4 linked regions of the Caenorhabditis elegans genome follow. The protein of the gene in region 2 purifies or fractionates together with the protein of the main gene of each other region. This does not show direct contact. Each region holds a gene or a part of one and is shown on either strand. Other genes may lie near its edges.

Region 1 (5,114 bases), on a different chromosome or scaffold from region 2:
CAGAACATGAACCATCGTTTGTTCCACCAGCTTCTGCACACCAAGCTCCATCAACAAAAGCCACAGTTGTCGAAGAGTCGAAGCAAGTTCCAGAAGGACGCGAACCCAGCGATTTGGCCACGTGGATTCACAATAATCCAGACGTCGTCAGAAATGTGGCTGCTGCAGCTGCAGTTGCTGGAGTTGCCGGTCTTGGTTATTACGTCTACGTTAAGAAATTTAAGTAAACTTTAAGATTTCAATTAGTTTTACCCTATAGTTGATACATAGGCTTTCTAAACTCTAAAAGAATAGTCATGAAAAACTGAAATCTAATCACCATCCCAGTTCATACATTCTTCCTCCTCATCACGCCCCGCCCATCCACCGCCTGAAGTTACCCGGTATTCAGTGTATTCTTTAATCATCCAATTTCTTACCGTTTTCTTGTTAGATATCCCAATCATTTAACCATTTTCTTCTCCGTATCGGGTCATTTTTCATCGTTTCAATTGTGCCCACTAAAATCCAAAACGTTTTTTTTTCAACATGAATATTTTATTATCTTATCTCCAGACAAATCAATCACAAATCATCGAACTCATCAATATCAGAGAACAGCTGCTCGTCCATCTCTTCGCCTTGATTAAAACTTTGATGATGAGCATCATGCTCTCCAATATCGAACGCTGATGCAACTTCCAACTCTCCATCCATCATTGAACGTTTGAATAACATGAGTTTGCTCACTGCCAACTCAATTATTTTCTTGGGGGTTCGTTCACTTCTTGTCAATTCAGCAGATATTCCAGTAATTTCACCAGCTTTTTCAATAAAGAATATGAGATCTTCTTCCTCGCCTGAAACTATTCCATTTATTATTTTTTCTGAATAAAAACTCTTACTTCTATTTGCGAGCTGAGAAAGTTGAATTTCCGGAGAGCTGAACTGTTCATCAAGATCAAATAATTCAAGAGGAGGCATTGGTAATTCTTGAAATGTTGGTGGAAATACTGCAGGTTGAAATGGAGGCATTGGAAGTTCAAATTGAGGTTCAACAAGGGTAAGTGGTGGAGGTGAAAGATTCAATGCTTCATACAATCTAGAATAAAAATGTTTATTCAAGTAGAAATGATGTTTTACACTAAAACTTATTGTAAACTTCATTCTAATATTCTTTCCAAATATCGAAATAATTTCAAAAGAAGGACGCGGAAACTTGCGCCTTTAAATGCTAAAAATTTAAACAGTACTGTAGTGTGACACTACTCATTATTCTCTTTTGACTATTAGAAAACAGAGTGAGGTACTACGGTAGTTGTTAAAGTCGCACGCTCTTTTCCGTACTTTATTCGTAAATAATTTGATCGTGTCGAGACCAGCTACCGTATTTTCAGGAAAACATCGCAAAGTTGGTGATTGGGTAAAACCGTGTTTCCATTTTCGAAAGCATGATTCTTGAATCTTTTTCTTAGTAATAACAAACATATTTCTGTAGTCAGGGGAAAGTATTTAGGGCACAGTACCTTATAGTCATTGGCCAATGTTTCAAATTAAAAGAATGCAACGAAGTATCCATAATCTTCATGAAATCCGAACTGATTGCCTGATCCAATTCTCCTTCGTACATACAAACCTGTTTGTTAGTTTGTCTAGAAAGTATAATTTTTTGAAGTCAAACCTTGATCTGCTGGGACATATGAATATGATCTGGAATATTTGTGTAATCATTAATTTCCGGCTCTGCAGCATCTATCGTGTTCAGTTCAAGACCATTGACCAGGAATTCCACAAATGTATCCTGAAATTGAAATTTTCCAATAAGGCGAGTTAAGAGGCGGGTGGGAGGCGCATCCTGCACGCCTCAACCAACCGGGGAAGTTTATTTCGAACCATATCAAAAATACACTTACAAAAATCTTTCCATTTTCTTCCTTATCGATGTATGTGTCATGAAACATCGAGACTGATCCAACCACACACACTCTACCTTTCTTTTTCTGAAAATAATATGAATTAATGTACCAATTTCAGAATATTCTAATACCATTTCATTGAGTTTTGTCTCATGAAAAGCGGCAACTGGGCGACTTGTTGGAAAACTTGTACTTCCAGAAGACAATACTACATTCGACATACGATTATTCACATCTAGAGTACATCCATATGGATAAATGAATGAAAGTGCTCTGAAATATTGAAATCACTTTTTTATTTTTGGAAAATCGGAAACCGAATTTTGTCCTAAATAAATAAAAAGCTAATAGTTCAACTCACTGTGAATTATGTTTTTGCTCAGTGCTCACATTCTTTTTTGCAGCCACTGCAATTGCTCGATTTATGACTCCATTTGCTACTAAAGCTTCTTTCGGATCAAAATATTTCAGGAATACAGTACGAATTACCGAATCTTGAATGTTGATGATTTTTGTAATTCATTTAATTTGATAAAGACATACCCTTATTCACAGTAATTCCATATTTTGCAATCATTTCATTTAATGATTGTCTCTCACCACCTTCACCAGAAAGGATCATCAATGAACCACCTTCTTCCACAAACTTCCATATTGCTTCAATCTTAAATTTTAATTTTTTGGGTGTTAAAATTAGGCTGAGACAATCAAATGAAATTTAATAAAATTTAAAATCCTAAACCTCTCCAGTTCCAAATGATGTCTTTGGTTGTGGAATGATAAGCATCCGAACATCTTCTAATCCATTTAAGTTAATTGGTTCTGTGTTTCTGAATTTAAAAATTATTATCTATCTGCGAGAGAAATTCAAATTTGGCAAAAATTACGGTAGCAGGTCTCGACGCGAGCAAAACAATTCCGCGCAAAGGATTGCTCGACTTCGAGGAGTACTGTAGTTTCCAATATTTTGTTTTTTTCGTTTTATTTTTTATTTTTTAAATAGCAGCTTAATTTGTTCAGTATAATTTGAATATTTATTCCAAAGAATTCAAAATAAGAAAATGAGAAACAAAAATACAAGAAACCTGCTTCTTCGCAGGATCCGATTTTAATTCGTTTCGAGACCGGGTATCGTATTCTTTCATCATAAATCGTAAATCTTTCAACTATGTATTTAATGTATAAAATGTTAAATATTCCAAAAAAGCTCACATTTCAACAGTAAGAACACTTTTTAAATGTCTTGCCACACCACGAAAACCACTAATCAAACTAATTTGTTGCTGTTTTGATTGATCAATCAGAACTTTTCTCCCAATACTCCGGTTCTGGAAAATGGAAATAATAAAATGCGAAAACTAAAATCTAATACTTACAGTCATCTTTTCGTCTGAAAATGGAGGCATAGATGTATACTAATGAAGGTAATAGCTTGAAAGAGATATAAGCCCCAAGAGAGGGAGCAGACAATGTGAGCGAGAAGCAATGAGTGGTTACTATGGTAACATGTGGATACAAATCTTGGAAGGGTCTCCTGGGAAAGGAACTACTAGAGAAATATATAGTTAACTTTGTTTTCTGAAATTTAATGAATTCCGTAATAGACTCCTAATTATTAAAAATGCAATTTCATTTTTGAAGTTTGATGAAAGATGTAATTAATTTTATAACAATTTATTTGGAACGAAAAAAATTTTACATGAAAACCGGAAGTGTGAAATCGTTGTTTCATAATTACATCGTCTTATACAAGATTATAGTTAATAAATAAATACCCATGAAATGTAATGAAAACTGAAAATATAACTACTACATATAAGCAATTATAAAATTAAAATGATACAAGAATACTGGAAATATCGTTTGGTTGGAGTCGGAATTGTTCAGCCTTGTTTCCTTCATAAAGATTGGTTAGTGACGTTTTTTTCGCAGACTTCAGTGTCGAGATCAATTTGAGTGGCTCAATTTCTAATCCAGTAGCTAAGCATGACGTGTCTGGGAGGGTAAGCCTGGATCTACAGTCTGGAACAACTCTATGCATCACCATCGCTGCTTTCTTCTCAGCTGCCGTAGATCTTTCGTTGGCTTCGTAAGTTGTCGGCGATGCCAGTGTTCTGAAAATGATTAAAGATGAGGGTTACTGTAGATTTCAGATTTTTTAACACCTAAATGTCACTAGATGCAGGTCACAGTTCAGCTCTTGTTCCACATTTTTCGAAGAAATAGATTTTGGTGTTGCATCTCCAATCATTTTGACAAGAGGATAATGAAGAGACCACGTAGCGAGATGACCAACATGTGAATGGAATCCAACTCGTTCTTCCTTCTTATTACCACTCGATGAAGACATCGGCTCAATAACAATACGGAAATGTGCAACTGTTCGTTTGTTGTCTCTAACTCCTTGCTGAAGACCTCTGTTGTCATCTGAACTAAGTCGTCGATCAAGCATTATTTCAATTTGTCCCGACGAGAGACTGCTAACTCCGAGAGCCTGTGCCGAATGAATTGACATTCTGGTAGTATCGTCTTCAATGTAAACACCAGCAGACATGGGATAGAAATTGGCCTGTGTTGGTAATTTAGTTTGTCGTCTCCTTTTTATCATTTGCATTCCATTGAGATCAGTGAAAAACTCATCACCACTATTTACTGAAGAACTGAATCTCAGTGCCAACTCGAAATTCTCCTTGGAACGTACATCAACTTCATTATCCAAATCAATCCATGGAAGCCCTTGATAAAGTGTGTACGTTTGCAATATTTTCAGATCATTGTTTGGAGTTGCAAACACTTTTTGAACAACTTCTCCTTTTACCAATATCCAATCACTTGATTGTTTTTTGAGTTCTCTAGCTTCTCCATCGGGAAGGAACAGGTATGCGCCAGCCGGGTTGTCTTCATTTCCATTTGCGACTGAAAGAAAAACATTTTTAAAGCGAACAAAAGATTTGGAGGAAAAGCCTAGATTTTGAAGGGATGAGAAGTGAGAGAGTGAAGAGGAGTGAAGAACGGATGCATCTCTTGACCCAAATCGCCTTATTTCAATCACTTGTTTATCATGTCAACGGCTGATTTGTATCATTTCGCGCTTCTACGCAGGAATGGTGATGTTCTATGCAGCTGCAGTTATTCTAGCTGTATCCGCAGTTTCAGGTGAGTTACTGAAATATTTTGTTTCATAAACTGCACTAGGATGCGTACAAAATGATAAATATT
Region 2 (5,859 bases):
CCTCGGCCAACGAAAATTGCTTGTTCAAAGATGAGATACGCAGAGACGAATGTTACGTGGCAGAAGCCCGAGTAACTAATCTTATCAGGCATTTAAAAAACGAAAAGTTCAGATTACTATAAAAACTGTATTCTTAATTCTCATTTTAGCATGTATGCAAAGGGTAAAAGTTTATCGTGAGATATTGGTTCAATATCTAGCTGCCGGGCGGTGGTTGCGGACAATTTTCTCACCACACCCTGCGTCTATTTATTTCTCGAGACCACGCCACGAAACAAAGATTACTGAAATAAAGAGAAGCAGAGAAATGAGTTGCGTCGCGGTCGACCGCATCGCGCCTACTTTTTTCGGCCCCCCGAGCTACAACTTGGAAGAACAACAAAACGTTTCCACCTTTCTTTAGCCAGAAAATGTTGTGAATATATCGTTATCAAGCAAAAAAAAAGGCTATGTAAAATTAGGCATAATTTTTGAATTGATTTCTTGACTTTTCTTCGTATCCTTTGTAGCTTTTCGCGCAGATAGAACTTATTTTATTTGTTTGTTTAAGCTGTTGAATATATTCGTTATATTTAACAGTCAATCAATAAAGGTTCTCAAAATATAATCAAACGATATTTTAAATAGAATTACAATATTATTTGACTGCAAAAATGATGGAAATGTTATAATTGAAGAAAAATTGAGAAAACTCAATTTAAAACTAGCCTTACTTAAACGTTATCAATCAAAAAGATCGCCGAAAAGGGTAAAACGACGGAAACAAAAAAGGAACTACGGCGACCTTGCGGAAAGGGTGCTTCATACTTGATATATATCTTCTCCTCAAATTTCCAAAAATTCTAAAAACAAAAACACGATTAAAAATCGAGAAAATCAGGAAAGAAACAAAGAAATTCATCAGCAAGAAAATTGCGAAAATCGGGCGGGAAAATTTCAAGGTACGGTAGTCGTGACGAGACATGTTCAGATAAAGTTTGTCGTGTTCCTTAAAGCTACTGTAGGCAAAGATTTTTCAATTTTTTAATTAGTATTTTCCAATAATTTTTTTGCTGTTTCAGGAACAGTTCAGCATATTCAATGTAAATTTAATAAATAAATTTAGTGAAAAATTAATAAATCAGGTGAATCTTTGAAATGGATTGGTCAAAAGCATGTTATTGTATTCTTCCTGAAGTCGAATGCTCTGAAATTAAGTAAAATATTGTTAACTCGATTAGGAAAAAATCCACACCTCTGTTTTAATATCTTCGTAGTCAATTTCAGTCTTCCTCAAGCTCATGTCAAGTGATTTTGCAGCAGTACGTTTCTCAACAGCTTCCAGTCGTTCGCGAAGCATTTTGTGCTGGAATAAATTTATAATTGGTAAAACTAATATAGAACCATATCGACTCACTTGAGAGTATCCTGGAATTGAATGAAGTTCATTTCTTATACTTGCTACATTTGCTTCTAACTGTTGCATTTCATGTGAACGAGCTGGAGCTTCATCTTCAAGCCTTTTTTGACGTTCTTCAAGCTCTTGTCGGAGCCCATCTGAATCTACATTCTTCCCGACTCCCGCCAATTCCTGATCTATTTTTTTCTCCTCAGTTTCCAAATTATCAATTTCTTCATTTAACGCCAATTCCATATCCTCAATTGATATAAGCTCTTCTTGAAGTCGAACATGCACTGAAATAATATTTTTTAATGAGGGTTATTTTTAATCGCTCATCAAACCTACTTTCTTTAAGTTCATCCACATTTCCGGTCTGTAAAGTGAGACCTCGTTCATCTAAATCAGTTATCTGATCTTCTAGATTCACTTTCTTCAAATTGGCAGATATTTTTCTCAAAATCAGTACAACTGCGTCGGAGAATTCTTCAATGTCTTGCTGATAAATGACAATTTGCTGTGGATAATTTTCAGTCGTATCGTCAAGCATTGTGCTTTTCGAAAGTAGATCAAGATATTTTGTGTGATGAGCCACTGAAATATTATTATTTTTTGAATTCTGAAACTCGATTCTAACTTTTAATGTGATCTGCATGTCATGTTTTCAAAATTCAGATTTTCAGATTTTCAAATCCCATAATGGTCAAACTTGAACGTATTGATATTGTATTGCCATATTGAATGTATTGATTAGTGTCTGTGGGTATTTTGTTTCAAATGATTGAAAATGGACTGTAGTGCTTAAAATTTTTACAGCTCTAAAATGTATTAAAATTACATAAGCCACTTCAACCTTGCCAACTTAGGTTCATTATCTATCATATAAAACAAACTCTACTCCACCTATAAGACCGTGTACGCACAATTCCATGAAGAATTATTTGCGGTAAAACAATGACATATTTAATAGATACGTCATTTCAAATACCAAATACCAAACACAAATGCACAATAGTTTCTTATCAAAAAAAGGAAACGTACTGATTTGAGCTTCTCCTTGTGAGTCATACTCGTGTAATTCTTCTGAAGCCAATGAAATTTGATCTTTAACAGTTTTGTGTTGTTTCTCAATCACAACCAAATCTGCGTTCAATTGTTTCATATTTTCTGACATTTTATCTCTCCATGCTTCTGGTGTTAGTGCACTTTGCATATCTTCCATTAGTTTTTCCTCTTGTTTTTTGAGTGTATCCAATGTTTCTTGTAGTTGGATTGCCTTCTTTTTCAGTGGATTACTTCGAATTTCAATTTCATATTTTGAAATTCTATCATCTAAATCTTCATTTTTCGCTTCCATTTCTACAACTCTTTCTCTTAAAAGCTTCGCTTCAGACTTTAAATCTTCATATTTTTCTTTCATTTGAGGATCCATTGCATGTGTTACTGCTTCATTTAACTTTTTTTGTTCTTCAACTTCTATTTCCAATCCTTGAAGTTCCTCTTCTTTTGCACGACGTTCATTAAATACTTCTTCAGCTAATGATCTCATCTATAATTATATAAATTATAACTTAAAGTGATCTTTCATCTACAGTAATCTAACCTCATCAGCTTGTTCCTTCATTTTGCTTGCTTCTAACTCAATATCCGACATATCGCCATTCAAATGAATTTTTTCCATTATTTTATTCAAATCCAATAATTTTCCTTGCAAATCACTAATCTCTTGTGCTTGAGCAGATGCTCTTGATTCATATGCATGTAGCTCATTTCGATCTTTTATTCCTTTATCTCGTTTCTCTTTCATACGAGATATTTCAACTTTTATAGCGTTTTGTTTCGCTCGAAGAACTCCGATGTAGTATGATTTGTCAAATACTTGACGGGAGTCTGGAAAATGTTTGATTAAAATTTAGAATGGAGTCTAGAATATACATACTTCCAGTTCCCATTCTTGACGGAGGAGCTCGTAATCCTTGTTGAGTAACTGGTCTCAATCCGGCTGTTGGAGGTCTTGCCATTCCAGTCATTGGGCGTCCACCCATCTGGAAATGTATTAAAAATTTTGAAAAATATGTATTTACTATTGTGCTATCTAAATCTCAATTAAAATTAAAGTTCAGTCAGTGTTGTTTTTAGAAATTTATTTTGGAAATCTATTTCCGATAGGTAGATTTTCTTGATGCTTTATAGCTATACTTACAGAAGTAGGTGCTCTTGGAGGTCCCCCAGCTCTTGACACAGGCATCGGTGCAGGAGGTCCACCAGATCTAGACGGAGGTACTGGAATCATACCACTTCGTGATGGAGGAACAGGAGGCCCTCCGTTTCTCATTGACATTCCAGTCGTTGGACGATTTTCGTATGTTGGTTGTGGTGGAGGAGCTACAAATTTTATTTTAGGTAACGAAAATTATTATTTTTCTACATAGATTTGGTAAGAAAAATACAATTTCCCTATTACCTCTCATTGCAGATGGAGGTCTAGCCCGTGCCGACGGTGCTCTTCCGGTGGAGGTTCGAGGACGAGAAGATGCAGTTGATGGGCGTTCCATTCTTCTTATTTTTCAGATGAATACCTCTTTTGTGTGAATAGAAGCGATTAGAATAACGTATTTGTGGTTGATGCGTGTTTAGTTGTCATAGAAACAAGCACACTCCAGCTATGGAATATGTGAGAAAGTGCGCTCTAGAATACGAACACCGTTTCCATGGAAACATGTAATATTTTTATTGAACCCACATAGTTGAAAGAAATTATTAACTTGGAAAGACCATTCTGGTTTGTCAGCAATTCCAGATAAATCTCCATGTCCTACACCAGCAGCTACCGTTATAACTTTATAACCTTGATCTCTCAAAGTCTTAAGATAGAGTAATGTCATTCCATTGTTATCATCAACACTGAAATATATATTTGAAGACGGCGTGTAATATAAATAATCTTACTGGTATCCAACGACAATGGTAACAGTATTTGTTCCGTCCGGATAACTCTCGCTAAGCCACTTGAGACCACTGAAAAAAGTTAAACAATTTTGTTTATCGAAAAATGTATATCTTACTCTGAAATTGTAGTGTCTGTCGATAAGACAGCATTGGTGGAAAGAGTATCAATATTACTCTGAAGATCAGATATACTTCTGAAAAATTAAAGTTTTTGATTAATTAAGGAATTTAATGAAAACTTACTTTGCTTTTTATTTATGTTTTTTTTTGGTGTCGTGTATAAAATAATCGACGCAATAAAAGATGATTTCCTGCAAAATTTCCAAGTTTAGAGAAACCTTTAGCGACACATTTAAACCAATCAAGCGCTCTGTTATAGGTAATATATTTATTTCTGAAAGAAATGGGTAAACTTGCACAGTAAGGAAAGATATCAGTGGGGAGATGATTATTTCAAGTTGCAAAGAATAGATGAGATCTGATCAGCAATATTTTGTCCATTTGAATCGTTTACTTGGAAATACCATTCTTGTTTATCCGGAATTAGGGAAAAATCTCCATGACCTTCACCAACAGCTACCGAAATCACTTTATATCCTTGTGCTCTGAGGTCTCGAAGAGTGAATGTAGTCATTGCGGGGTTTTCATCATCGCTGAAATTGTAGATTGATAAAAAATTTGAAAATTCACAAATCTTACTGGTTTCCAACAATAATGATAACTGCATTTGTTCCAGCTGGATCTCTATTAGCATGAAGCCATTGAAGCCCGCTGCAAATACATTAATCAATCAGAACTTTGATAAATGTTTTACTCACTCGGAAATTGTGGAATCCATCATCAAAATAGCACTATCTAATAAATCAGATATGTTGTCTTGAAGATTCGTTAAACTCCTGAAATATTTGCCGTGCTATGTTATTTGAACAAAAACAAAAATAAATTAAACATACTTTGCCCCACCATATTGTAAAAATTTATTGGTAGGATAACTGTCGGTTTGTCCATATGGTACATTGATTGCTTGTGTAGTTGAAGTAAAATCATAGTTGACTGAGTTGTACAAATTATTGGTCACAAAGTTTACAACATTCTGGAAATTTAAAACTTAAAAATTGGCAAAACGATTGTTCTTACCGTCGCACTGTTTGCACTCAATTCAAAAACAGTTGCAATCTTTCCACTGTACGGAGAAGCACATGTTGGAGCTTGGGAAGTGGATGAGACAATGTTAGATGTACTGGATGCTACTGTTGATGCAACACTACTGCTTTGAGAATTTACAGTAGTTGACCCAGTGTTCCCTTCAGTTGAGGATCCTTGTGTTACAGTAGTAGCTACAGTGGTCGATCCAGTGTTTGAATTTGTTTGAGTTGAAGATGATCCCTGCGTACTTGCAATTGTTGGTCCACTGGTAGATGATCCTGGGTTTGCTGTAGTTGATGATGCAATCGGTTGAGTTGATGATGATGCAGAAGTGCTTGAAAATGCCGATGGCTGAGTTACAGTTGATCCTGTAGATCCAGTATTAG
Region 3 (7,108 bases), on a different chromosome or scaffold from region 2:
TTCAATTTATTTAAGATCAGTTATATATTTAAGACATTTGTCTGAAATAAAAAACAGCTGTACTTTAAAAGATAATTCTTTAGGAAGAGTGAGGTGCCGAATTTATTCCCAGCCCAGATTTATTGTATAGATAAAAACTGTTTTGTCAATGCCGCTAGTAGTTTTTCTCTCCGGCTACCAAAAGATATATGGACCATTGTTAGGAAAATTGTTAGAAAGGAATATAACCGTAAGATGGAGAAAAATGTGTAAAATTTACATCTGGAAAAAAGTGTTCTTATTTGTTGATTTTTTGTTTCATTAACACTATGCTACCGTGATGACATCCTTGTTCCGGAGCTTTTGGAAAATTGAAAAACATTTTTAAAATTTTCAAAACTACTCAGAGCTTTCAGAAATCGTGTCCTCATTATATATCAGGGGTGGCGATAAGTCCTACTTTCATTTGATGATATTTTCAAAAAATTTCGATCGCCCCAAGTGCTCGAACTCGGAGCAATTTTTTCTAGCTTCTGCCCTGCTGTCTTGAAATTAGAAATTTTTTGAGTAAATTATAACAATTCGAATGGGTACATCAAACAAATACAAAAATGGAGTCAATTGTTTCCTTTAGCTTTTTCCGCGGCAATCAGCTCTCGTATATGCACCCAGTCGATTTCGACCTGAAAAATAAGCTATTCATATTCAAAATAAAATGTATCTGGAAATAATATGTATTGTAAATTGAAATTTTCAAAAAAGTTTTTGATGTTTTGTCTTTCACAAGTTGGTTTACCTCTGACATGTGCTTTAAAAAAAGAGGGTCTGTCTCTTTTTGTCCACAGTTCTTCAAGTATTTCTCACGATATCCCATTACAATTTCGAGCCACTGTTTATTTTTCAAGCCAAGTTCGAGTGCTCTGAAAGTATTCAAGTTAAAAAAAAAACATCTGATTATGAATTGCCTTTTCCACTTGAACATTTGTATATTCAACATAAGCGAGCGAAAGCTTAGTCCACTTCTTTCTAGCAAGACATCAGCATCTGCGAGCTTTCCAGTTAATACCACTTGCATAGCTTGACGAGTCTCTTTATCGGTTTTGTCTTTGATTTCGTTGATCAGGGAAACTTTTTCATCATCCTCCAATGCTGCATAGGCAATTTCCATAACGATCATATTTTTGTGGAGAACAGCTAATCCAGCAAAAGTCGCCCACATTGTGTCATTCTCAATTTTGATAAATAGGTCATTTATAGCAACACGTTTATACATTACACCCAAAATTAATCCCGCTAACTATTTCATGGATTTTATAGTTCCGCCAAAAAACTTTTCTCAGAAAAGTTGAATTTCCCGCCATTTTTTCTCAGATAATTTGAATTTCTCGCCAAATCTTTTTTTCTCAGATAATTTGAATTTTCCACCAAAAAATGCTTAGAAAATTTGAGATTTCCACAAAAATTTGTTTTCTCAAAAAATTTGAATTTTTTGTCAATATTTTTTAGTCTTATCACGATGAGTCTCATCACGACGGATCTCGCCACAATGGGTATCACCACGAAGGGTCTCGCCACGATGTTCGGCTACGCCCATTTTGGACATAGTCAACAAACGGTCACTGTTTTGTATAAAAGGAATGATATTTTATTGATTCCAAACGCACTACACAAAAGACGTGAGATGCGCCGTGCGGCATTTTGAATGAATTTGACATATCTACATTTTCAAAACATTCACTCACTCCAATACTTCTGCATAGTCGTATTGCTTGATCCCATTTTGATTGAGATGCCATTGTGATGAGTGTTCCATAGAACGGAAGAATCCCAGTTGGCAGTAAACATCCATCTGATTTCCTGATAACTATTGTATTTCCGGCAAAATTAGCCAACTGTGGAAATTTTCCGACGCTGCCGATGTTCTTCTGTATTAATGATTTCTGTAGAAGATTTCTGTCGTGGAAGGCAACGTTTGGAAGAGGCCAAACAGCTTAAACATGTGTTGAAGTTGAGAATAAAGTGTTGGAACTTACCAATCTTTCCTTCCGAAATTCCACACAGCATATTTGTGACATCGTTGAAGACAAGCTGTTCAACTAGTGATCCTATTTTTACCATCCTCTGGCTGACACCGAAAGTCTTCACCATAGCTATGTGAACTGCACCGATTTGATCACGGAAGGCAACATTTCTATCATTGAGTGGTCCGCACTGATTCACAGTCAGCTCTACAATATCATGCTGAAAGTTTGAAATGTTTAGTTATGTATAATAGTTAATATATACGTTGTACCTCATGTTTCAAATTTCCATCACCCTGTGCTTTTCCTGTTGTTGGATCGAAAAAGTGCAAGACTTTATTGTCGGCACGATCTCGGACCACAAGTGTATCATTCGCCAGGTCGATCTTTCTTTCGTCTAGTAGAGCCATTACTTGACCCGGTGGGTTTAGGTTTATAAGTTTTCTTCCCTCATAAGTGAATATAGTTATTGTCATTCCATCGGACACAAGAAATATCCTTAAAAAGTTATACACACATTATGCTGGTATAATTATGAAGTCTAATGATTTGAAAATAACTTTAATAATTAAGAATTCGCGTCAAATTTTGATAACTTGCTGAAACGTACAAAAAAAAATTTGAAGAAAACGGAATTTTTTAATCGTTTGTTTTGTGAACAGTTGGTTTAAAAGATGATTGAAAAATTTGTAGTTTGCCAATTTGAAATTTTATTTTTTTAAAGATTTTTGTGCGATGGAGAATGTCTGAATGTCTTGCAATGTTTTAAAAATATGAACCCATACAAGTTTGTAAAAATTTTAATTTTGGTTCCCAACATGAAATTAACAAATACTGATTAATGTGGGGCAATAATACGCAATCACCATTATTTCAATTAATAGCGTTTGTAGCAAAAATTATCAGTTTCTGTAAAAATGTTTTGTTGCATTATTAAGTTACTAATTGTAAGTACAAAAACATTCAATAGACGTTACTTTTCACATTGCACAATGATATTCACAGTTCTCTCATTGTACTCGATCATAGTGGGAGTATTCCAGTTTTTGGAGCTGAAAACAAAAATAGGAGGCTAGTTTGCTTTTCAAATCATACCTGTAAATATAGATATGGGATGATGTGACCACAATCAGATACTTATATAGAATCGCGATTTTCGATATTCTTTCTTTCGTTTCGAGAGTTTCTCGGGAAACTTCACTGCTGACGTCTCGAACCTCTATAACGGTTTTCTGGGTTTGAACAATTTCAAATTCTTCATAAGTCAGTCTCCTGGAATTTTCTAATTAGTAATGAATAAATCATCCCTATGATCTTACTTATCAATAATATGTGCATGGAAGACAAGCCCAGCAGCAGTGCCAACGGCTAATTGAGTTCCATCAGGTGACCAACTGAGTGCCATCACAGATCCAGCATTCATTTTCTCCAAAGAATGAGACCACTGTAATTTTGAAACTTTTTTTTGATGTTAAAGTAGTATAAATTGCTCTTTTTATTTGCTGGTAAATCGAAAATGAATTTTCATGGAGGGCAATTAGTTCAGTATTTTTGTGGAGCAGCAGAGAAAATGTTAGCTTAAATAGCCGATGTTGGCCTTGAAAAAATTTGAAATGAATTGAAATAAAAATTATTGTTTCAGTTCTTTAAAAACAACCACTAACTCCAGACTTATCACATAGTCTTAGAATATTATGAGATCCAACAGCAAACAGAGTTCCATCAGTGTTCCACGAAATGCTTGTTATAGGATAGTCGTGCACAGAAGAATTGAACAGGATCTGACCAAATCCGTCCCAAACCTATAGTATAAAATTCAGACAGATTGGAGTATAGACTCAAAAATCACCTTGAACTTCAAATCTTCCCCGCCAGTCACTATCAAATCCGAAGTTGGATTCCAGTCGCAACACAAAATGATTCCATCATGGGCTTTCCATTTTATCGGAGCAACTTGCATTTTCAACGATTTGATATAACAATGGTCAGCGTTACAGTACAAAACATTGGAAGACGTAGAGTCCCATGCCACACAGTAAACGGCTGTTGCAAATTGAGCCAGCACTGAACGCAGCATTCCACTCCGCGACCACATTTTCACAAACCCATCTTCTCCGCCTGCAACTGACTTTCTTTATATACTTTTTTGAAATTTTAGTATTGAACCCACTTGACAACAATCCAGTCCCATCAGAATTCCATCGAGCACAGAGAGCTGCTCCGTTGTGAGCATCTACCATGTTTTCAACTTTTCCGTTTCGCGAAAGTATGTTTATCTTTCCTGAAATTCATTTTCGGTGTTTATGGGTTTGAAACAAAACCCATACGTATACATTTTCGTTAAGAATGAAAAAAAAATACAAAAGAAAAACTTACCATCAGAAGTTGAAACTGCAAACACATCATTTTGACCACCTTTAGTTTGGGAACGTGGAAAAATATGAAGACTCGTGGGGAAGAAAGTTCTGGAATATAAAATTCTGATTTTTTAAAATTCTTTGATTGAAGTTTTTGTTTTTGCTGCAGTTCTAATTGTCAGACCACAAAAGCTGCAACATTCTATTGCATTGAGCTAATTAATTGCAGCTGAGAAAATCGGTCAAATTTAGTCAGTTGATATGAAATCGTAATCATTTTATTGTAATTAAAAGTAAATTAGATTTTTTGTTATAAAAATTAAAATATATACATATGTATGTACATACTTAAAGGTGGGGTACGGAAATCTGGGAAATATTTTTAAATGACTCCAAATTTGCCTATGGTTCCAAATATCAATGTGAAAAATTCAAAAAAAAATCCCTGATTTTATATTTGAGCTTTAAATCACACATTTCATGTGTGCCCCGGTTTCTTTTTCAAATAGGCACAGAAATAAATAATCCTCTGAGCGCGTTTGCCTTATATGATTTTCTCCATATATTTTTTCCTTGTTTATTAATATGAACACTTAATTTTTCCATTTCCTTTCGAAATATGAGACGATGAAATTTTAAGCTAAATTTTAATATTTTAAATGCTTATAACTACAGGAGTACGCAACATATCAAATGGAATTTTTGTGTTATTCTTAACATTTTGTCAATTGATTTTTTTGTACCTTTGAAGTCCATCGAGATATGAAGCTTCAAAAACAATGACATTTTAACCTAAATACGCATTCGGAGGACAACATTTGTCTTAGCATCAATTTGGGCAAGGTTTTATTTTGAATTCGATATGAGCATTGTATTAGCTTTCAGAAAATATATAATTCGTCCCATAACTCTTTTGTCACCAAAAAAGAGTCCCTAGTTAAATATTGTGAACCAGGGGCAAATTTGGAATCAATTAAAAATATTTCCTAGATTTCGGTACCCCACCTTTAATTTAGAGTAGTCGCATTTCGCCTCGCAATGATGAAAAAAAAACTCACTCCGGCATATTCAAAATTTGTTGAGATTCATTTGTGGCGGTATTTGTTAGCAGAAAAACATGATCATCGGCTGCCGACAATATGGCCTCGGTGCCTATCCATCCCACCCCACAAACCATTTCTGTGTGGCGTGTTTTCCGAGACGCCGATAGTTTTAATTTCATTCTGCAAAGTTGAAAGCCTGAATTGTAGAAAATAATTGATTAGCCCAAATCTCTGAGGGTTCATTAACGAAAAACCAAAAACGTATTGCAAACACTAGCTGAGCCATGCGCGAGCAGTCACCATGACAACCAGCTGGCAGCAATTCAGAGAGCTGCGGCAAGACGGGAGGAGAAGGAACTAATAGTAGAGTACCACCGCAGGTGTACATCAACAAAGAATCTGGTGAGATGAGGGAGATTCAAATTTTTGTCTGTTTAAATAAAATTTCAATAAAGAAAAAATTGAAACAGACATGGAAGACAAAACTGAGAATTTTTTTGTTGCTTTTTATCTAAATTACATTTGACGGTACTAGGCATACGCCACTGTTCGGGAGATTTCTACGATTACTCGGTTCCGCTTAAGACCCGAAATTCTGTAGTACTTGAAAAATAACTTGGTGTACATTGTTCGAGCTACTGCTCGTAATGCCTATTGATCATCGGATCATTATTGGGGAGCAAATCCTGTTTATTTCTGAAGGTTGAGAGCTAGATGCAGTTAAAAATGTATACCTAAATGTGAATGCAATCTTTGAAATAATCTGTTTATTCTGTACAATGTTGACAGAGTCAATTAGAAATTGCACTTTTCATCTGGACCAAGGGTGGGCGGCAAACAATTTTTCCGGTAAATCAGCAAATCGTCAAACTTCGAGAATTGAAATTTCCGGCAAATTGCGGTTTTGCACTTTTTTTTTTTTGGAATTTCGGAATTTCAATTTTAATCGACAACATTGTAGGCATCCTATAAATGTTTCCACATCTATTTTGAAAAGTAAAAAAATTTATGAAAAATTGAGAAAAGACGTTAAAAAATTCACAGAAAGGCACAGTGTCTTATAAAAAAATCCCCCTAGACATTTCCGGCAAATCAGCAGTCTGCCGAAAATAAAAATTTCCGCCAAATTGGCAAATCGGCATGTTGCCGAAAATGAAATTTCACGGCAAGTCGGCAAACTGGCAAGTTGCCGGAATTAAAAACATCCGGCAAATCAGCAAACCGGCAATTTGGTGATTTGCCGCAAAAAAATTGCCAAACGGAAATTGACGCCCACCCCTGATCTGGACATAAATAATGCTTGTTGGTGAAAAAAATGCGTGTTCTAGCTGTTTGATAAAATTTAGGACATTTGAAAGTTTTTTGTCTAAATATTTGGACTGGGTGTCAAGTTTGAATCAAAATAAAAACTTCCGATTATACCACGAAAATAATGTTTTCTAAATTTGTTAAAGTGGATTTAATAAAACATCAAAAAAATTAGATACAAGAAATAATAATTAACTACATAAATAAAGAAAATGTTCAAAAACCGAATTTCATGAAACCATTGAAAATTCTATTCTCCTACACCAAAAACGCTTTTGATGAGACGTCTCTCAAAGAATCGACATAAGGATCATAGACGTAGCTGAGAAAGCTTTCGAGTCTTTCAAACTTGAAAAAGTCTTCCTGGTAGCGCAGAATCGCAAAAAAATCTCTGCAGAAA
Region 4 (7,617 bases), on a different chromosome or scaffold from region 2:
TCGGCCGCCGTGGAAACCTACCCCAAACCGGATGCATGTGCGTTCGGTGGTGTCAAAATCGGACGACGCCGATTTGCACAGCCCTAGTTTGAGAAAACATTCCGCACTGGTTCATTTTGTTGAATTGACGGTCGGCAATTGCCGCGCACCCCTTGATTCTCTCTCTCTCTCTCTCTCTCTCTCTCTCTCTAATCTATACTCTCTCTAATCTATACTCTCTCTAATCTATACTCTCTCTAATCTATACTCTCTCTAATCTATACTCTCTCTAATCTATACTCTCTAACTCCATTGCCCTTACTCATATCTCGTTGGGCCACCGTGAACGGGGTGCCACTATCCAGCAAAAGAGGAACATGTGCACTGTATTGACGGGTGCCACCACCACTCGAACCACCTGACCCCGATCCCAAACCGGTCAGGCCGGATGGGGGAAGGGAATGCGTTGAATTTGCAGAGTGACGTTTTCCTTGGCTTGAATCACTTTCCCGTTGTAGACGGAGTTGATTGATTCTATAACTCGCTTGTTTTGAAATTTTCTCTATTTGCATGTTTATATTACTTTTCAGCCTTTTCCAGTTTATCCTTGTACTCCTTGTATTCCGTCATTCCAAGATCACCGGCAATTCGAACCAAGAATTTGAGGCAGTCGAGGTCTTGAGGGAACTTGCGATGAATCTGACGATAAAGCTCGAAAGCTCTTTGGTAATTGCCTGTCCGTCGTAGGCAACTGGCTATCATCATTTGCCATTTTGAAACGTTTGGCCTGAAGCGCACATTATTCATAATTTTATTCATCATGACGCAAGACTAATGTTACGAAACATTAGAAATTAAGTACTTACTGCATCAGGGCAGCCTTCTCCAAGTAGTTGATGGATTTCTCAGAAAACTGAGTTTCTAAATAATAAGAAGCCAGCCATTCAACGGTTTCCAGGTTTGATGGAAAATATCGATAGCTCTGAAAAACCATAAGTCGGATATTTTATATTATGGGTTTAAATAAGTTCCTGGTTATAGTACATAACTTTTTTTGCTGCTGATCAATTTTTCTAAAACTATTCGGAGCCACTTTTTGCTCCTTTTTAGTTTTTGACTAAGGAATTAAGGCGGATTTTGATTAATTCGAAATAAATTGTAAGAACACACTGAAAGTATAAAAGTTTCAAAAAAGTCGTTAAAAAAATTTTCAGGAATTTTTTAAAATATAAATTTATTGATTTTTTATTCAAAAAATGATGCAACCAAATTTAAACTAATTTTACACATACAAAACATCCGAGTTCAATATGTCTTACTCAAATGGATATTGAAAATATGATTTTTTCGAGCTCTTTTTGAGTTTTTTGAGAATTTTTCGAGAAAAATTTTTAAATCAAAAATAAAATAGTTTACACTAGGTTGCAACAATTTTGTAAAAAAAATCATGAATTTTCAACAAAAAAATTTTTTTTTGTTGAAAGCATTTTTTTTTCAAAAACTTATACAAAAAGTGTCGGAAATTTAAAAAAGTGAAAAAAATGACGTCAGAACTGTATTAAAATACATAAAAAAAATGTATTTTAATACAGTTGTGACGCCATAAATGTATTAAAATAGATTTTGTAACATTACTTCCCCATAAGACTTGAGACTTACAACTTTGAAAAATCCTATTATAAACCTCAGTTATGAACTGAACAGAAGTGGCTCCGGGTAGGGACACTTGGGTGGTAAAACCTATTTGAAATAACCGTCAAATGAAAAATCATCTTTAATACCATAAATTCTTACAGTTTTAGAAAAATCAATAAGCAGCGAAAAAAGTTATGATTTTTTTGACCCGGAATTTATTCGGTCCCATAATATTCAATTATACAAACTGACGTCATAATGACATTGGAATGCTTGAGACTTGTCACCTTCTTGATCATACAAATCCGCCAGCTTGGAAAGGATTGCAGGGTCATTTGGAACCAAACTGTTTGCCTGACTATACAGCTCGATTGCTTGTGCAGAATCTTCCAATGACTCGTATCTAAAGTAACAATTTTGTTTCAACACTCATAACGTTTCTGTTTTACATAGAAGCCAATTGCACTAGCACTTGTACATTATTCAGAAGGATTCCATGAAGTTTGTAGAAAAATTCAAGTGCCTGCTCCAGGTTGCCTTGCGCTTTTGCAGTTAGTCCAATATTGAACAATGCTTGAACACAACTAGCGTCATTGTTCAACGCCTCTCGATAATTATTCAAAGCTTTGTCCAAATCGCCGTTCATGTACGCAATGTTGCCTTGGTTGACTTGAGCATGCGCATTATAGCGGTCAATTGAAAGTGCCTGGTCAGCATATTGCTGTGCATCTACTAGACGGCGTCCTCCTTGCTGCAAGTTGAAATATGCAAAAATGAGGTAGAGAAGTGCCGGTGGGAAATTGAAATTGCATTAAAACATGATTATGACATGACTATGACACCACTATGACCAATTATCAAAATGCGAAAATTCCAAAAAAAAAATCTAAATTTTATATGATTTTTTGAAAATTGAAAAATTGGAGAAATCTCAAATCTTTTTGCAACTTTTTCTGTTAATAAGACTGTTAATAAGAATTTTCATGAATTAAAAAAATTTCACATTGATATTTGGTCATTTTGGCACCATATAACTGGTTTTAACAATTTCTATACTCCACTTTCAACTTACCAAAAATCTCAGCATACAAAGATTGTTTGCAGCCGCACTGGCTGTTTTGGAATCTTGCGAATTAAAAACTTTCAGCACTTCGATTGCTCCCTCAATATCTCCGTTTTTCATCAGCTCACCAGCTTTTGTCATTTCAAGTTCAATTGCCAATGGTGCGTGTACAGACTGCTTGAGAGATTCAAGGCACCATTCATAGCCGATAGCGTAGCTGGAAGATTTCTATTTATTTATCTTTTTACTTATGTATATCAAAAACTTTTATATAACGGAATTACGCAACCGGAAGGACAACATAATACCAACTAATAATACAAAAAGATTTTGAAAGAAATTCGTTCAAACCATTTTCTGTCGGTTGCCAAAAATATTGTGCCTAACCAAGTGCAAACTATTTTTGCACATACAAAAAATTTGGGTTTGAATATTCGATCTCGAAATTATCAAAAAAAAGTATGATTTCTATCCTGAATTTTTTGTAAGTGTAAAAATATTTTCACTTGGTTTTTTTTGTTTAAAAAAAAACTAGAATTTTCGACACAAATTCAGTTGAAAATTTTTAACAACCGACAAAAAAATTTTCAATTGTTTTTTGTCATCTTACTCTGTATTTTCCTGACATTCAAAACTCACTCAGGAGCAATAACCGGGCTAATAATCTTCACTGCAGTAATGATTGCTTTTTCAGCATCCGACTTGTTCCGTTTCTCCCAGTTTTTCAGCATATCCGAGTTCAAGGTCTGATTCAACAAAACATCATCATCATCTTTCTCTTTCATGTAGTCATCATCCGGAAACCCAGGAATATCAATCATTTTCACAAATGCTTCTCTCATTTTTTCTGCGTCTTGTATGCAAAATGCTACCAATACTGTAAAATAACATTAAAAAAAATCAAATTTCTAGTGATAACCTACTCAAGTTGAGGGCTGTAATAAAATTCGGATTTTCTTCCACACAATGATCAAAAGTGCTTATGGCATCGTCATAACTTCCCATTCTGACAAAAGTTACACCAATATTGTTGAGAATTTTAATTCTTGTATCTTTTTGAATACTCGGAACTTGATCTAAAGCCATCCTGTAGTATTTCAAAGCTTTTGTGAATTCACGTTTGCGGAAATGAATATTTCCAATATTAACCTGAAAAAATATATATTAAGCTTAGTCAAAATAATGAAAAAATTTTACTTTACTGTTAATGCTCAACCCTTCAAATGTTGATCTGAAATTGCTTCAGCACAATTTCTAATATTTTCAAGCTTTGTAGAATTGCTCCAAACGCTGTTTTTATATACTAGGAGATTTTAAGAAATTTTGACTCTTTAAAAAAACTGGAAATTTCCAAAACATTTCAGAATCTTTACCAACATCTAACCAATTTGAAAATTATTAAAAGTATGCAGAAAAAGCATTTGGAGCAATTCTAAAGAACTTGAAAGTATTAAAAATGCACTGAAACAATTTCATATCACAATTTGGATGGGTGGAACTTTGCAGCCCAAAATTTTGTTAGGACATACATATCCTTAAGAAAAACTTTTATATTTACCTTTAGTCTCCCAGAATTTGGGAACATTTTGTTCCTTACAATGATTTCATAAGTGTTTAGCGCTTCATTAGTCATATCATTCGCTTCATATTGCTGAGCCAAGTTGAACAACACGGTGAAAGTTAGATCCAAATTCATCATCTCTACCAATCCCTGTTGCTCCCTGTGCTTCACAACTGCTCTTTCACGTCGCCCAGCTTCCTTCGCTTTATCCAGCGCTTCTTTGAACTTTTTCTTCTCACTAGCCAGCATACTTTCTCGGAGCATTTCCATTACTTTGTTTTCCATCTGCCGACATTTTTCTTCACCACTACAAGTTACATGATTTTTCAACTAAATTTCGCAACTATATATTCTTACTTTTCACCCGAGTTCTCGGTACTTAGTGGTCTTTCTGCGGCTTGAACTGAAAAAAAGTGACTGTGAACAAATAGTTTAGGACGGTGCGGATGTCACCTTTATTTGCAAAGGATGTATATCCGGCTCCGCGGACAGCGGTCATCGGTCTCGCAGGTTCATTGTTGTTAGCCATGGCTGTTCGACCGCCCATTCGACTTTGATCTGAAAAGAACGGATCCTGATTGCAAAAAAAAAATGTAGTTGGTTACTCACTTCCCATCATCGTTCCCGGCGGTTTTCCATAAGAGGAGGAAGCATCTCGGAATCCCATTTGAGATGCAGTCTTAGAAAAAGATTGTAATAAATTGTAATAAAAATTTTCAAAAAAATTTCAAAGATTTTAAAAGTCAAAAAAAGGTCAACTTTGCCCGAAATTTTTTTTTTTTTTTTTTTTGCTGATGATTTTTTTAAAACTGTTTCGGACCGGAGCAGCAAGGTAAAATTTACCAATCGGAAAAATTTTTTAGAAAAAAAAGTTTAATCATAAAATTTAGTCAGTTTTAGTATTTTTTAAGCAAAATAACACACAAACTCAATTTCTCCTTTGATTGAAGTTTTAAAAATTTTTCTCTTTAAGGTAAAAAATTTCTAATTACTATACAAAACAGTTTATTTTCCAATTGTCACTCACCGGACGCCTTCCATGGCTCGACCTAGCAACGGCTTGTTGAAATTGTGGATTTTGAGTTATGTTCTGAATTAAACACATTTATTATTGCGTATTTACAGGAGGAGTAGAATCATTTAGAAATTTTGCTTGAAATGATAAAAAATAGGCCCTAATAGCCAAATGTAACTATAAAAAATGGGTCAAATGTTCCTTAATTTTTGATTCTTTTTTTTTCAATTTTTCAAAAATCAAAGAAACGTCTCATTTGAATTTTAATATTCGCGCGGAAAAGTTGACGTCATTTTTGATATTTTTGCGTTTTCGGGTAAATATTTATGTTTTTCAGATACTTTCTGCTATATTTTATTTGAAACCCGGTTGGCGGAAATTTCAAAATTGACCTAAAAATTGACATACAATTTTTTTGTCGGAAAAATGCTCTTAAAATTGGTAAATAAAGTTTCAAATGAGATATAAAAGAACAATGAAGAAAAACCAAGGTGACGTCACTCATTTGAGCGGAAATTTATAATCATATTGGGCGTTTCTTTGGTTTTTGCAAAATTGAAAAAAATATTTAAAAATTTAGAAAAAAATGTTTAAATTGTTGTACAGTAATACTATCATTTATAGCAAAAAATCATAGACTCTTATTCATTTTTAAATTATTATCAAACCTGAATATCATATGCTTTATCATACGAATCAAAACCGCCGTAAAAATCGTCATCATCTTCACGAAAAGTGCTGTTCGCCATTAAGAAAAGTGTTCTCAGAAGAAATAGAGAAGAGTGCGCTGCTTGGTGTTCTGGTTGCCATGGCACCCAAGAGAAAACAATTTTCGTCAAGCTAGCGGAGCGTTGCCATAGTAACTATGTAAGCAAGAGAGAGAGTGTAACACCGAATGAGATGCAATAGTTTATACATGTATAGGTCTGAGGGGTTTTCAATGACAATATTAAGTTATGGGGTTCGAGTCTTTCAATTTCAAAACAATAAATTATAGGCAAAACAAGAAAACAGCAAGAGAAATTATGATTGATTGAACAAATGAGATCGCGGACGAAGAAAGTGTACAGAATGGAAGGTAAATTTGAATTGGCCGTTCAACTGCTTGGATAACTGTCAGAAAAGAGCCAAGTCCACAGGTTGTTTCAATTGCAGGACGAATGCAGTCGGTATATGATTGAAGTGCACTGAAAGCCATTTTTGTCAGTTGTCAATTAAATCTATAATATGAAAGCTCACAAGCATGCTCCGGCTCCTGACGAATAATCATTGTACATTTGTTCAGTGTTTCTTGCCAATTGTGTGAAACTTGCTTCACACATTGCAATCTCCCTGCTTTCCGCAACAGACAAGTAGCAATTCCAGTTGTTGAGCATTGCTGAAAATTTTCCAAATTCTACGCTTTACAGGATAATTTTCCTAAGTCATACATTGATATCCTTCTCCACAAACATAATCCAAGACTGAATCGACAACGGAATAGCGAGACTTTAGCGGTTCGTGCGGATAGCAGGCTTGTTTGATGTAGCTCCCTCCGAGGCAGTTGTTGAATCTTTGATAAGCCCTGAGACCAGATATAAGTTTTAAAATGTTGCGAGAATTATATTTATAGGAGTAACGGTTCTGAGTATTTGAAGCATATAAACTCAAAATGTGCTCAAATAAACAAATTTCGTAATGAAACTTCTCAACAAACTCGTTTTCAAATTTTTTTATGGCAGTTTCGAATTAAAAAAAGGAATAATTTTAGCTTTAATTTAGGCCAATTTTTGTGTCGCAGTGGTCCTAAGAATGGACCGTACTACCTGAATACTACTGTAAAATTTTTTTTTTGAATTTCTTATGATTTTTTCAATTTTGCAAAAATTAAAGAAACGACCGAATTAAATTTTAACTCCCGCGCAAATGAGTGACATCATTTTTGATAATTTCGCGTTTTTTTGGCTAAATTCATCGATTTTTCTTAATTTTTGAAATATTGTATCTTTTTGAAATTTTTGAAATATTGTATCACTGTTCGTCAATTTTCAAGCATTTTTCCGTGAAGAGAACTTTGGATAGAAATTTGCGGAAATTTTAAAATTGGCCTAAAAATCGACAATATATAATATAATTTTAATTCTAACTTTTGAGGGTAAATATCTTTAAAAAATTGACAACGATGTTTAAATCAAATATTGGAAAAAAACCATGAAAAATCGCTGAAGGCAGGAAACGTAAAAAGGTCTAAAAATGACGTCACTCATTTGCGCGAGAGTTTAAATTTAATTCCGACGTTTCTTTGATTTTTGCAAATTTAAAAATCCAAAAATAGATTAGAAATTTTTTATCTTTTTGTTACAGTTTTTCTTTGTCATTATGATT

What was found.
Region 1: the proteins of ift-74 (region 2) and osm-6 purify together in Caenorhabditis elegans (affinity purification with mass spectrometry; 2 studies listed by BioGRID, with this or other methods). This does not show direct contact.
Region 3: the proteins of ift-74 (region 2) and che-2 purify together in Caenorhabditis elegans (affinity purification with mass spectrometry, with the first as the bait; one study listed by BioGRID). This does not show direct contact.
Region 4: the proteins of ift-74 (region 2) and osm-5 purify together in Caenorhabditis elegans (affinity purification with mass spectrometry, with the first as the bait; one study listed by BioGRID). This does not show direct contact.

What each region holds. Positions count from the first base shown.
Region 1 is NC_003283.11:11,924,106-11,929,219, forward strand, and holds osm-6 (Intraflagellar transport protein 52 C-terminal domain-containing protein), read right to left. Parts: upstream 3,342-5,114; 5' UTR 3,302-3,341; coding exon 3,272-3,301; intron 3,224-3,271; coding exon 3,108-3,223; intron 2,726-3,107; coding exon 2,638-2,725; intron 2,560-2,637; coding exon 2,439-2,559; intron 2,390-2,438; coding exon 2,257-2,389; intron 2,169-2,256; coding exon 2,027-2,168; intron 1,980-2,026; coding exon 1,893-1,979; intron 1,781-1,892; coding exon 1,661-1,780; intron 1,616-1,660; coding exon 1,506-1,615; intron 1,082-1,505; coding exon 885-1,081; intron 840-884; coding exon 565-839; 3' UTR 516-564; downstream 1-515. Other genes in the region: R31.2 (ANK_REP_REGION domain-containing protein), read left to right, coding at 1-227; aman-2 (Alpha-mannosidase), read right to left, coding at 3,727-4,009, 4,061-4,811; F58H1.2 (uncharacterized protein), read left to right, coding at 5,000-5,051.
Region 2 is NC_003280.10:6,678,208-6,684,066, reverse strand, and holds ift-74 (Intraflagellar transport protein 74 homolog), read right to left. Parts: upstream 4,012-5,859; 5' UTR 3,934-4,011; coding exon 3,843-3,933; intron 3,764-3,842; coding exon 3,582-3,763; intron 3,424-3,581; coding exon 3,318-3,423; intron 3,269-3,317; coding exon 2,982-3,268; intron 2,928-2,981; coding exon 2,420-2,927; intron 1,973-2,419; coding exon 1,727-1,972; intron 1,675-1,726; coding exon 1,397-1,674; intron 1,346-1,396; coding exon 1,235-1,345; intron 1,187-1,234; coding exon 1,121-1,186; 3' UTR 523-1,120; downstream 1-522. Other genes in the region: H43E16.1 (VWFA domain-containing protein), read right to left, coding at 4,776-4,980, 5,027-5,098, 5,146-5,223, 5,281-5,420, 5,465-5,859.
Region 3 is NC_003284.9:479,922-487,029, reverse strand, and holds che-2 (WD_REPEATS_REGION domain-containing protein), read right to left. Parts: upstream 5,581-7,108; 5' UTR 5,580-5,580; coding exon 5,416-5,579; intron 4,466-5,415; coding exon 4,377-4,465; intron 4,282-4,376; coding exon 4,171-4,281; intron 4,119-4,170; coding exon 3,850-4,118; intron 3,803-3,849; coding exon 3,665-3,802; intron 3,445-3,664; coding exon 3,320-3,444; intron 3,273-3,319; coding exon 3,096-3,272; intron 3,053-3,095; coding exon 2,978-3,052; intron 2,499-2,977; coding exon 2,273-2,498; intron 2,221-2,272; coding exon 2,013-2,220; intron 1,970-2,012; coding exon 1,722-1,969; intron 1,208-1,721; coding exon 945-1,207; intron 900-944; coding exon 776-899; intron 663-775; coding exon 597-662; 3' UTR 526-596; downstream 1-525.
Region 4 is NC_003284.9:2,982,663-2,990,279, reverse strand, and holds the start of osm-5 (Intraflagellar transport protein 88 homolog), read right to left. Parts: upstream 6,018-7,617; 5' UTR 6,003-6,017; coding exon 5,922-6,002; intron 5,329-5,921; coding exon 5,266-5,328; intron 4,918-5,265; coding exon 4,848-4,917; intron 4,797-4,847; coding exon 4,692-4,796; intron 4,642-4,691; coding exon 4,596-4,641; intron 4,546-4,595; coding exon 4,236-4,545; intron 3,827-4,235; coding exon 3,601-3,826; intron 3,555-3,600; coding exon 3,317-3,554; intron 2,895-3,316; coding exon 2,687-2,894; intron 2,366-2,686; coding exon 2,064-2,365; intron 2,018-2,063; coding exon 1,867-2,017; intron 962-1,866; coding exon 846-961; intron 767-845; coding exon 563-766; intron 514-562; coding exon 302-513; intron 154-301; exon of another isoform or gene 52-153; intron 1-51. Other genes in the region: nspg-5 (DUF19 domain-containing protein), read right to left, coding at 6,245-6,440, 6,493-6,631, 6,684-6,817.